Mus musculus: one gene and its partner. The protein of the gene in region 1 interacts with the protein of each later gene in a biochemical or structural test. Links are inferred from orthologs where the notes say so. Each region holds a gene or a part of one and is shown in the gene's direction. Other genes may lie near its edges. The genes, in order: Slc9a1 and Tesc.

Region 1 (3,801 bases):
ACCATGTGCAGGCTGTGGCCCATTCCAGGGCCTCCAGCTCCACAGCATGTGAGCCTGGCTGCCCATTGTAACCAGGCAGCTTGTTTAAATGGAGATTTCTCGGTCCTACTTGGTGGATCCCAGGTCACATATGACCTGGCCCCAGTTACTTTCAGAGATTGACTGGTCCTGTCCTGGTTTACTGTCTAAACTTGTGCTGAAGGAGAGTACCACAGGGAGTCCCAATCATGCTGAGTGCTTTACTTAGTTCTTATGACAGCCCTGTGATGTGAGCACCCCAATTGTCCCCCACCTTGTGGAAAACTGAAGCACGGGAAAATGAGGCCATGTGTGCAAAGGATTGTAGCTTTAAGAGTGTATGTTGATTACCAGCAGGGGGTGCTGCAGGCCCCCAGTGTGCTCCTCTAGCACGTGCCGCTCCGTAAGCCCCAGGCTAGGTTCTACACACTTAGCACTTAGCTGCCTTGAGGTCTGAATCCATGGTTGTGAATTGTGGAAGGACAGTGTCAGGGAGCCATGGGGCCAGGGCCCTGCCCTCCTGCCTACCAGCCTGTGTGCTCTCCCCAGGTCCTCTATCACCTCTTTGAGGAATTTGCCAGCTATGACTCTGTGGGCATCTCGGACATCTTCCTCGGCTTCCTGAGCTTCTTCGTGGTGGCCCTCGGTGGGGTGTTTGTGGGCGTGGTCTACGGGGTAATCGCAGCTTTCACCTCCCGATTTACCTCTCACATCCGGGTCATCGAGCCGCTCTTCGTCTTCCTCTACAGCTACATGGCTTACCTGTCAGCTGAGCTCTTCCACCTGTCCGGAATCATGGCGTGAGTCGGAGTGGCAGGTGACGGGCTTGGTGGGGTAGTTACTTACCATGGAGTCTCCGGATCTCTGTGGTCACGAAGGAGCGCCCCAGCACCTGAGGCTCCAGGCTTGCATGGTAGACGCTGACGTGGCCCAGGTCATTAGAGGCCTTCCATAAGAAGCCACTTCCATTGGACTCCTGGGATTCAGGAATCTGAACATTATGGGCAGAATCTACTACTACCCTAGGAAACTGAGCTGGAAGTCTTAGGTCTCAGTCCTACTTCCTCCCATTTTCTTAAAGATGGAAGCCGACAAGGCTCCCCAGAAGGGCTCACCAGGCATCTTCCACGCCTGAATCTCAGAGGCCCCTGAGAAGAGTCAGTGAGGCACAAGGAAAGTAGAAGTGTGCAGGCCAACCTAGACCGGGGACTCTGGGAAGCGGGGAAGGAGCCAGCACAGCTCCCTAGAGGAACCCTGTGTGTTGGGAACTTTATACTGGGAAGGGGTGAACCCAAAAGACCACAGAGTGTGGCCCTGGCTGTCGGGGCAGACGCAGTGTGCACAGTGGAGGTGACTTAATTCTTCTAAAACTCCCGTGTCTCGTCTGAATTTGCTGGCCCTGTGTACTTGGTGTGAGGATCAAGGGAAAACCATGGGCGTTTGGCCCTCACAGTTGTCCAGTGAGCTAGTGCTTGCTCAGCCTGGACTGTCAGCCTGTAACCTTGCACCCCGTTCTTCTTCACCCCAAGCCTCATCGCCTCAGGAGTAGTGATGCGCCCCTATGTGGAGGCCAACATCTCCCACAAATCCCACACCACCATCAAGTACTTCCTGAAGATGTGGAGCAGCGTCAGTGAGACCCTCATCTTCATCTTCCTCGGCGTCTCCACTGTGGCCGGCTCCCACCAGTGGAACTGGACCTTCGTCATCAGCACCCTGCTCTTCTGCCTCATCGCCCGGGTGCTGGGTAAGGGCCAGGCCCAGGCCAGGGAGGGGAGAGAGAGAGAGAGAGGGAGAGAGAGAGAGAGAGAGAGAGAGAGAGAGAGAGAGAGAGAGAGAGAGAGAGAGAAACAGTATACACGTGACTGTAGGGAGAGGAGCTGGGCTATGGAGTAGCTATGTGTAATATAGTGTGGGGCTAGGTTGTGGGTTTGTAAGTGTGTTGATGTTTCTAAGAGCTGCACTGTGTCTGTGTGTAGTACTGTTTGTGTCTACGTAGTAATGTGTCTAAGAGCTGGGCTGTATTGTATGGTATCATATCATATGTAGAGAGGATAGGCTGAGTGCCCACTACGGTGTATTGAGGGGCTGGCCTGTGGGGTCTCTATAGTACAGTGTGTGGAGGAACTAAGTGCGGGTGTCTAGTACAGTGTGTCGGGGTGTCTGTAGTATAGCATATGGAGGGGCTGGTGAGATATGTAGAGTGCAGTATGTCCCTGTCCCTGTCCCTTCTGAATGGCTCTGGGTGCTCCCATTGCTTCTCTGCAACGCTGACACCATTTGAGAGCATTAGGGAGAAGCCGCATGCCTGCCTCCTGCTCACGTGGAGGCTCCGCAGACACTGTCGCAGAAAGTTATGGTGAAGGGCCTCTAGACTCTCCAAAAGCCTGGTGGCTCTCAGGTCCTCAACCCAGCCTGGAACCCTGAGCCAAGTGTTCTGTTGTCATGGCGCACGTGTCCAAAGCTACCAGGCTAGTGTCACCCATGGAATCGGGTCTGTGGGCTCTGCCCTTGTGCTAGATTCTCCTGGCCTCCATGGCCAGGCCGCTGCTGCATTCTCTATCTTACTCCCTTTTCCGCACACGTGCACTTAGGAGCCAGAGGTCCACCGTATGTTCCCCCATCCACAGTTTTTAAGGTTTGTTTGTTTGTTTGTTTAGGGTTGTTAGTTGTTTGTGACGGGATCTTACTATACAGATCAGGCTGGCCTAGAACTCTTGGTGATTCTTTTGCCTCAGCCTCCCAAGTGCTGGGATCTCAGCTGTGAACTGCCCAGATCCAGGGCAAGCACTCTCTGCATCCCTCCTCACAGCCTACACTTCGAAACAGTGGTTCACTATGAACAATTCCCAGTCTCTAGAAAAGTAGAGACAATAGGGTAATTATTTCCCACCTGTTTTAATAAGTTCAAACTCAGTACCAGGATTGTTTCCTCCAGTCCCTTGACCTGTACCCCGTGAAGGCCTCTGGGATATTCAGAACAAATGCAGGTTGAGGAACCCTTTAAAGACCTACCAAGGTTTTGGATGAGTGAGCTGGAGTTCCTGGGCTGCGGGACCCAGGAACCGAGTGAGCTGGTTGGACGGTTGGACGTAGTGGGAGGAGCTTCCTGGACCGCCTGACCTCTCCTCCGCCTGCTCCCTGGCAGGTGTCCTGGTCCTGACCTGGTTCATCAACAAGTTCCGCATTGTCAAGCTGACCCCCAAGGACCAGTTCATCATTGCCTATGGGGGCCTGCGAGGGGCCATCGCCTTCTCGCTGGGCTACCTCCTGGACAAGAAGCACTTCCCCATGTGTGACCTGTTCCTCACCGCCATCATCACCGTCATCTTTTTCACCGTCTTTGTGCAGGTGCTGGGCCTGGGGTGGGCAGACCCCTGCCTGGGGGCCCCGACTTTTGTGGTAGAAAAAAAAAAGGCTGTGGGCATGCTGTCACTAGCTTGCCGCATGACTTTGGGCAAGCCGTCCCCCTTTGAGGCCTCAGTTCTCAGCTGTGACAATGAGAAGTCAATCAGTATATGAAGTGACGAATGTTGCCCAACTTGAGTAAGAGCCACTGGAGTGACGTGGGTAGCAGCCGGCAGGCCCAAGATCTACTGCCCCATCATGGTAGGGCTGAGTGGCATCATGGTTTAGCATCTGCAGCAGTTCAGCATAGGCGGCCGGACAGTCTCCTGAGTCAGGAAGGCCTGGACTCAGCCTAACGTTCTACTAGCTGTTTCCTGGGAAGGCGTGCCTGTCTGCAGTGAGGAGTCGGGGCTAGCTGGTTACAGCCCCTACAGC
Region 2 (4,588 bases), on another chromosome or scaffold:
GTGGACAGAGCCCTGCTGGGTGCTCACATCACTCACTGCCAGAGGGGGAGGGTGGGTGCCTCCACCGCAGCACCCACGCAGCTTCGCGGAGCCCGCTGTTCTGTGGGGCCACGGGTGGGGACAATTACGGACTCTGAAGCTCAGTGTGGACATTGAGATCTCTGCGCTCCTGAGAGCTCACCCTGGCTGTTACTCCCACTCCATCTGCAGCGAAGGTGGTGTCTTATCCCTGTTTGCAGCTCAAAGATCTAGTCGGGACCTTGCACATAGTAGACCATTAAGAAACACGCATTAAATGAGTGAACAAATACACAAGTCAAATTGTCGCCCCCTTTCCTGAGGACTCCTCGCAGCCCCCCGGGGGGAGGGGCGGGCTCTCCTTGGCAACCACACCCCAGCCTGGTGAAAATAGACACTTGATAAGGCCTCTCCGAGGAGGCCTACACAGAGATCCCAGAGGAAGAGGGGGGCTCGGTAGAAGGATCGAGCACCAAGGGAAGGCACTGTCAGCTTGGAGTGCGGGTGTGTCTGGGGTTGCTGGCGATGGGGGAGGGGGTCTTCCCCGGCCTGGAGAATGCAGATCCTCTGTAGACAGAAAACTTAGTTGCAGGAAGACATAGATCATGGCATATTTTAGAAACCCCAACATCCCGGGACCTGGGGAGCCCTTTCCTGCCCTCCACCCCACAGAGATCTGTCTGGGTTTTTAGAATTCTTGGAGACCTGAGGCGGTCCAGCCTACTCAGCAGCGATGCCCCACAGCTAAGCTTCCCTTGCTTCTCGGGTGGGAGCAGTTTCCGTGAACTCTGGGCAGCTGCAGGGAGGACGGGGGATCTTCAGGGAGGATCTCCAGGGGCAGACTCAGCTCCCCGGAGGCTCAGAGTGGGTGATAATCGGGGTTTCAGTGGTGGGGCCGGTTCTTCTGGCTCTGCCGAGACCCCTGGGTTGGCTAGAGTGGGCTCCTGAGAACGCCAGTTCCAAGGATGCGCACCCACGGCCGTGACTGGCGAGGTGAAAGATCGTGGGGATCCCAGCACTTCCAGCCAGAACAGACTCTTGGCAGCTAAACCGGACGTCACTAAGCAGAGCAGGGCATGGCGGGCTCCCAGGGCAGCCTTGAGGTTGAATGTTTCCCTCCCGGAGCACCAGCCCCTTCCTCATCAATTGAACAGGATTCCATGGTAACCCGGCGCCTTTCTCCCTCTGCGCCCTACGGTGAGCATCTCACCGCAACCCTATTTGGAGATGGAGAGATGGTGGTTAGACCAGCAGCAGGACTGGCCAGTCAGGACCTCCTATCTCATCAGGATCCCCGGGACTCATCGGTCTCACCTTCTCTACTCAGTCCACGCCTGTCACCTGCGATGCGCGCTCCTCTGGGCGCCCACCTAGGTGCAGGGCGCGGGGGAGGGGATCTTTCACACTGGGCACACTCGCGTGCCCTCCTCTGTCCCAGCGCCGAGGCTCCGCCGCTGGACCCCGCAGAGTGGGCGGAGGGATGCGGGTCGCGCTGCCCGCAAGCTCATCCCGCGGGGCTGCGGCAGGGGCAGAACCACGTCGTGTCCTCCCCCCACCCCCATTCCCGCCCCCGCGGCCGCGAGGGAAGCGGGCGAGCGCTAGGACCGCGCCGCTCCGCCTCCCGCCGCTATAAGAGGCCGCTCGAGCCCCACGCGGAACCGGCTCCGCGCCGCTGTCCCCGCGTCCCCACCCGGCTCCAACGCAGCGCAGCCCAGGCAGTCCCCGGCCTGCGTGGGGCGCCCGGGGCCCCGCGGCGCACCATGGGCGCTGCCCACTCGGCGTCCGAGGAGGTGCGGGAGCTCGAGGGCAAGACCGGCTGTGAGTACCACACCGTGGCCGGGAACCCTCGTTGGCGGGGACCATCGCCTGCATGCCCCCGCTTCGCGCCACCGTGCTGTGTGACCTTGGGCTAGTGGCTTGCCCTCTCTGTGCCCCGTTCTCGGGCTGCTTCTGATGGGTTCCCGCCAGCCGCCGTGCGGGCGACGCCGCTGGGAGGGGTTGGCAGCGACTCGGGCCTGGGGTAAGGGTGGCCCGAGAGGCGACTTGACCCAAGCCTCACCCGACCAGGGCGGAGCCCGGCAGGTAGCCGTGGCTTTGAGGGCCGGCGCCCCGGCAGCTCGGGAGAGCGCCGAGCGCGCGCTGCACCTGCAAGTCTGCGGCTGGGGAGCGGGGAGGAAAGTTTGGAAGTGGCGGGACCGGGAGGAGCCGCGCGGTCCGCGGTGACCTTAGGCGGGGGTCACCCTGCCGCCTCCCCGTGCGTCCCCACCCCCCGGCTGCAGGCTCGGGCACCGAGCCCAGCGTCCTCCAGGCTGGCCCGCACTCCCGGGACCGCAGAGGCCGGGCGGGGCGCGCCTGGGGGAAGCGCCCGTCCGCCCCGCGCTTGACCCTGGGCTCAGAAGCGACCAGGGGACCCGGACTTGCACGAGGGTGGGCAGGCGCGTGGACTCAACCTGTTTCGGTGGTGGGACAGAGCGGGTTGTGAGTTCTGCCAGGACTGTGTGACCTTGGACCAGTCAGTTCCCGTCTCAGTTTGCCTCCTCTGAGGAATGGGAGACTGGCGCACCCCCAGGGTTCCTGCGGCAGGAGGTTGCGGCTGAGTTGAGAGCACCCAGTCAGCCCCCCTCACCCCCCCAGAGGGGGACTGGGCTGGCACTCGCCTCCCCAGAGCCCGGTGAAGTCATAGAAAGTCCCCAGCTGCTGAGCGTCTACACCGCGCACACAGTATGCGAAGTGTGCAGCGGATCCGCGAGAGTCGTTTACACGACCCACTAAGGGCGCGCGCCATCGAGCCAGTCCCGGTGAGGGTCGACTGTGAGTGCGCTGCCTGGAGTGTGCGCACGGCGTGCAAGGGGAACCGCGTGCGAGCGGGAGTGTGGGCGCACTGTGTGCAAACCGGGAGTGTGTGCACGCACTGTGTGAAAGTCGAGAGTGTATGCACACTGTGTGTGAGACAAGCAGGTGTGTGTGCACAGTGTGTGAAAGTCTAGAGTGTGCGGGCACTTTGTGAAAACCAGGAGTGTATACACACTGTGTGCGAGGCAAGCAGGTATGTTTGCACACCGTATTGAAGGCAAACTGAAGTGTGTGCACTTCAATCAAACTGAAGCGTGGTTGTGTGTGCACACTGTGGGCACTGCAGTTTGAAGCACGGTTTCACTTTGGGGCTCGGGCTGCTCTGATCGGGGACACTCCCTGCCTCAGTCTCCCCAGTTCTGGGACTGCAGGGCAGCACCCTCCCCCACTTTTGTATTTTCTCTCTGAATTCATTTTGCTGACTACAAACCAAAAGTTTCATAAACCTGCCCCCGCCCGCCTCCTCCCAGGCCCACGTGATGGAGGACAGCAGGAGTCCCCGCCCACTTTGACTCGGTTTGACCCATTGCCAGTTGCTGTCCCAGATGGTGTGGGGAGAGCTGGGATTCCGGGTGCAGGTTGGGTCCCCACCGGAGCAGCACCCAGGGCCTTCTGGGGAAATTCCTGCGGGCTGTGGGTTTGACAGTGACGGGCTGCAGAGCATGCTGGGAGCCTTGTCAGTTTCCTGGGCCCAGCCTCCCACGGTGACAGATGCTCAGGCTCAGTGGCTGCCTGGAGGTGGCTGGGGTGGCTTCTTCACTTGCTGCCTGTGCTCAGAATTCAATTCTAAAGGGAGCTGGGCGGGGGGGGGGGGGGGGGGAACGACGGGACCCAAGGTTATGCCACCCCCACCCCTGGGGTCCCACAGGCCCTGAAGGTGCTGGTCTAGTCTGGGCACTTACACCCGTTTGGCAGATCCTTAGAGTTTTTGAGGATTTTAGAGGATGTGGAGGTGACCCAGAGAGGCCAACATTCCCACACAGGATGCACAGGACACAGATCCACCCCACCAGTCTTAGGTTTCCAGGAACAAGCAACAGGGGGAGAGGATGGGAAGAGGTAAGCAGGTAACTAAGGAGCCAGTCATGTGACAGTGACCAGAACATCGGAGTGGCAGGTGCCATGGCCCTGTGGCAGGAGGCAGTTGATCACCTCAGTGAGGTTGGCCGATGGATGACATAGCAGTCCTCCAGGCTCAGGCTGCACTGCAGCCCCAACTTCAGGGGTCCCCTGTGCTCCCCGTGCCTCAGTTTTCCCTCCTGTCAGATGGACATAGCAATAGAACTACATTGAACTAGGTCTTGGTCCCTGTATCCCTGCTGTGTGTGTGACCTTCAGTAGGTCACTGCCTCTCTGGACCTCAGTGCTCCACCTGGGTGTCGCCGCCTCTGAACAATTGTGTGGAGGAGATATTAGCCAGGAAGGCTCCGGACGTGGCGTGGGGTTGGACAGGGCTGTGGTATGAGAACTTATACATGTCCAGGGGAACACCACTGCACTTGGGCTTGCCTATACCAACACTGAGAACTTCACACAATACACAGTAGGTGTGTCTTCACCCACATCTTCCAGAAAGGAGATAAGGCTGTTTCCTCTCCTGAGGGAAACTGAGGCTCGGAAAGAGACAGCATCTTGCCTTCAGCACCACAGCCAGGAGTGGAGGGTTGAGAGATGGAGGATTCCCCACCACACACTGTGACCTCTGGGGCAGGAACCA

What was found.
Region 2: the proteins of Slc9a1 (region 1) and Tesc form a complex in vitro, tested with the Homo sapiens proteins (4 studies listed by BioGRID and IntAct, with this or other methods). The link is inferred for Mus musculus from reciprocal best matches to the Homo sapiens genes SLC9A1 and TESC.

The regions. Positions count from the first base shown.
Region 1 is NC_000070.6:133,414,734-133,418,534, forward strand, and holds part of Slc9a1 (sodium/hydrogen exchanger 1), read left to right. Parts: intron 1-567; coding exon 568-818; intron 819-1,547; coding exon 1,548-1,765; intron 1,766-3,166; coding exon 3,167-3,369; intron 3,370-3,801. UniProt on the Homo sapiens protein: Electroneutral Na(+) /H(+) antiporter that extrudes Na(+) in exchange for external protons driven by the inward sodium ion chemical gradient, protecting cells from acidification that occurs from metabolism.
Region 2 is NC_000071.6:118,026,152-118,030,739, forward strand, and holds the start of Tesc (calcineurin B homologous protein 3), read left to right. Parts: upstream 1-1,591; 5' UTR 1,592-1,778; coding exon 1,779-1,836; intron 1,837-4,588. UniProt on the Homo sapiens protein: Functions as an integral cofactor in cell pH regulation by controlling plasma membrane-type Na(+)/H(+) exchange activity. Promotes the maturation, transport, cell surface stability and exchange activity of SLC9A1/NHE1 at the plasma membrane.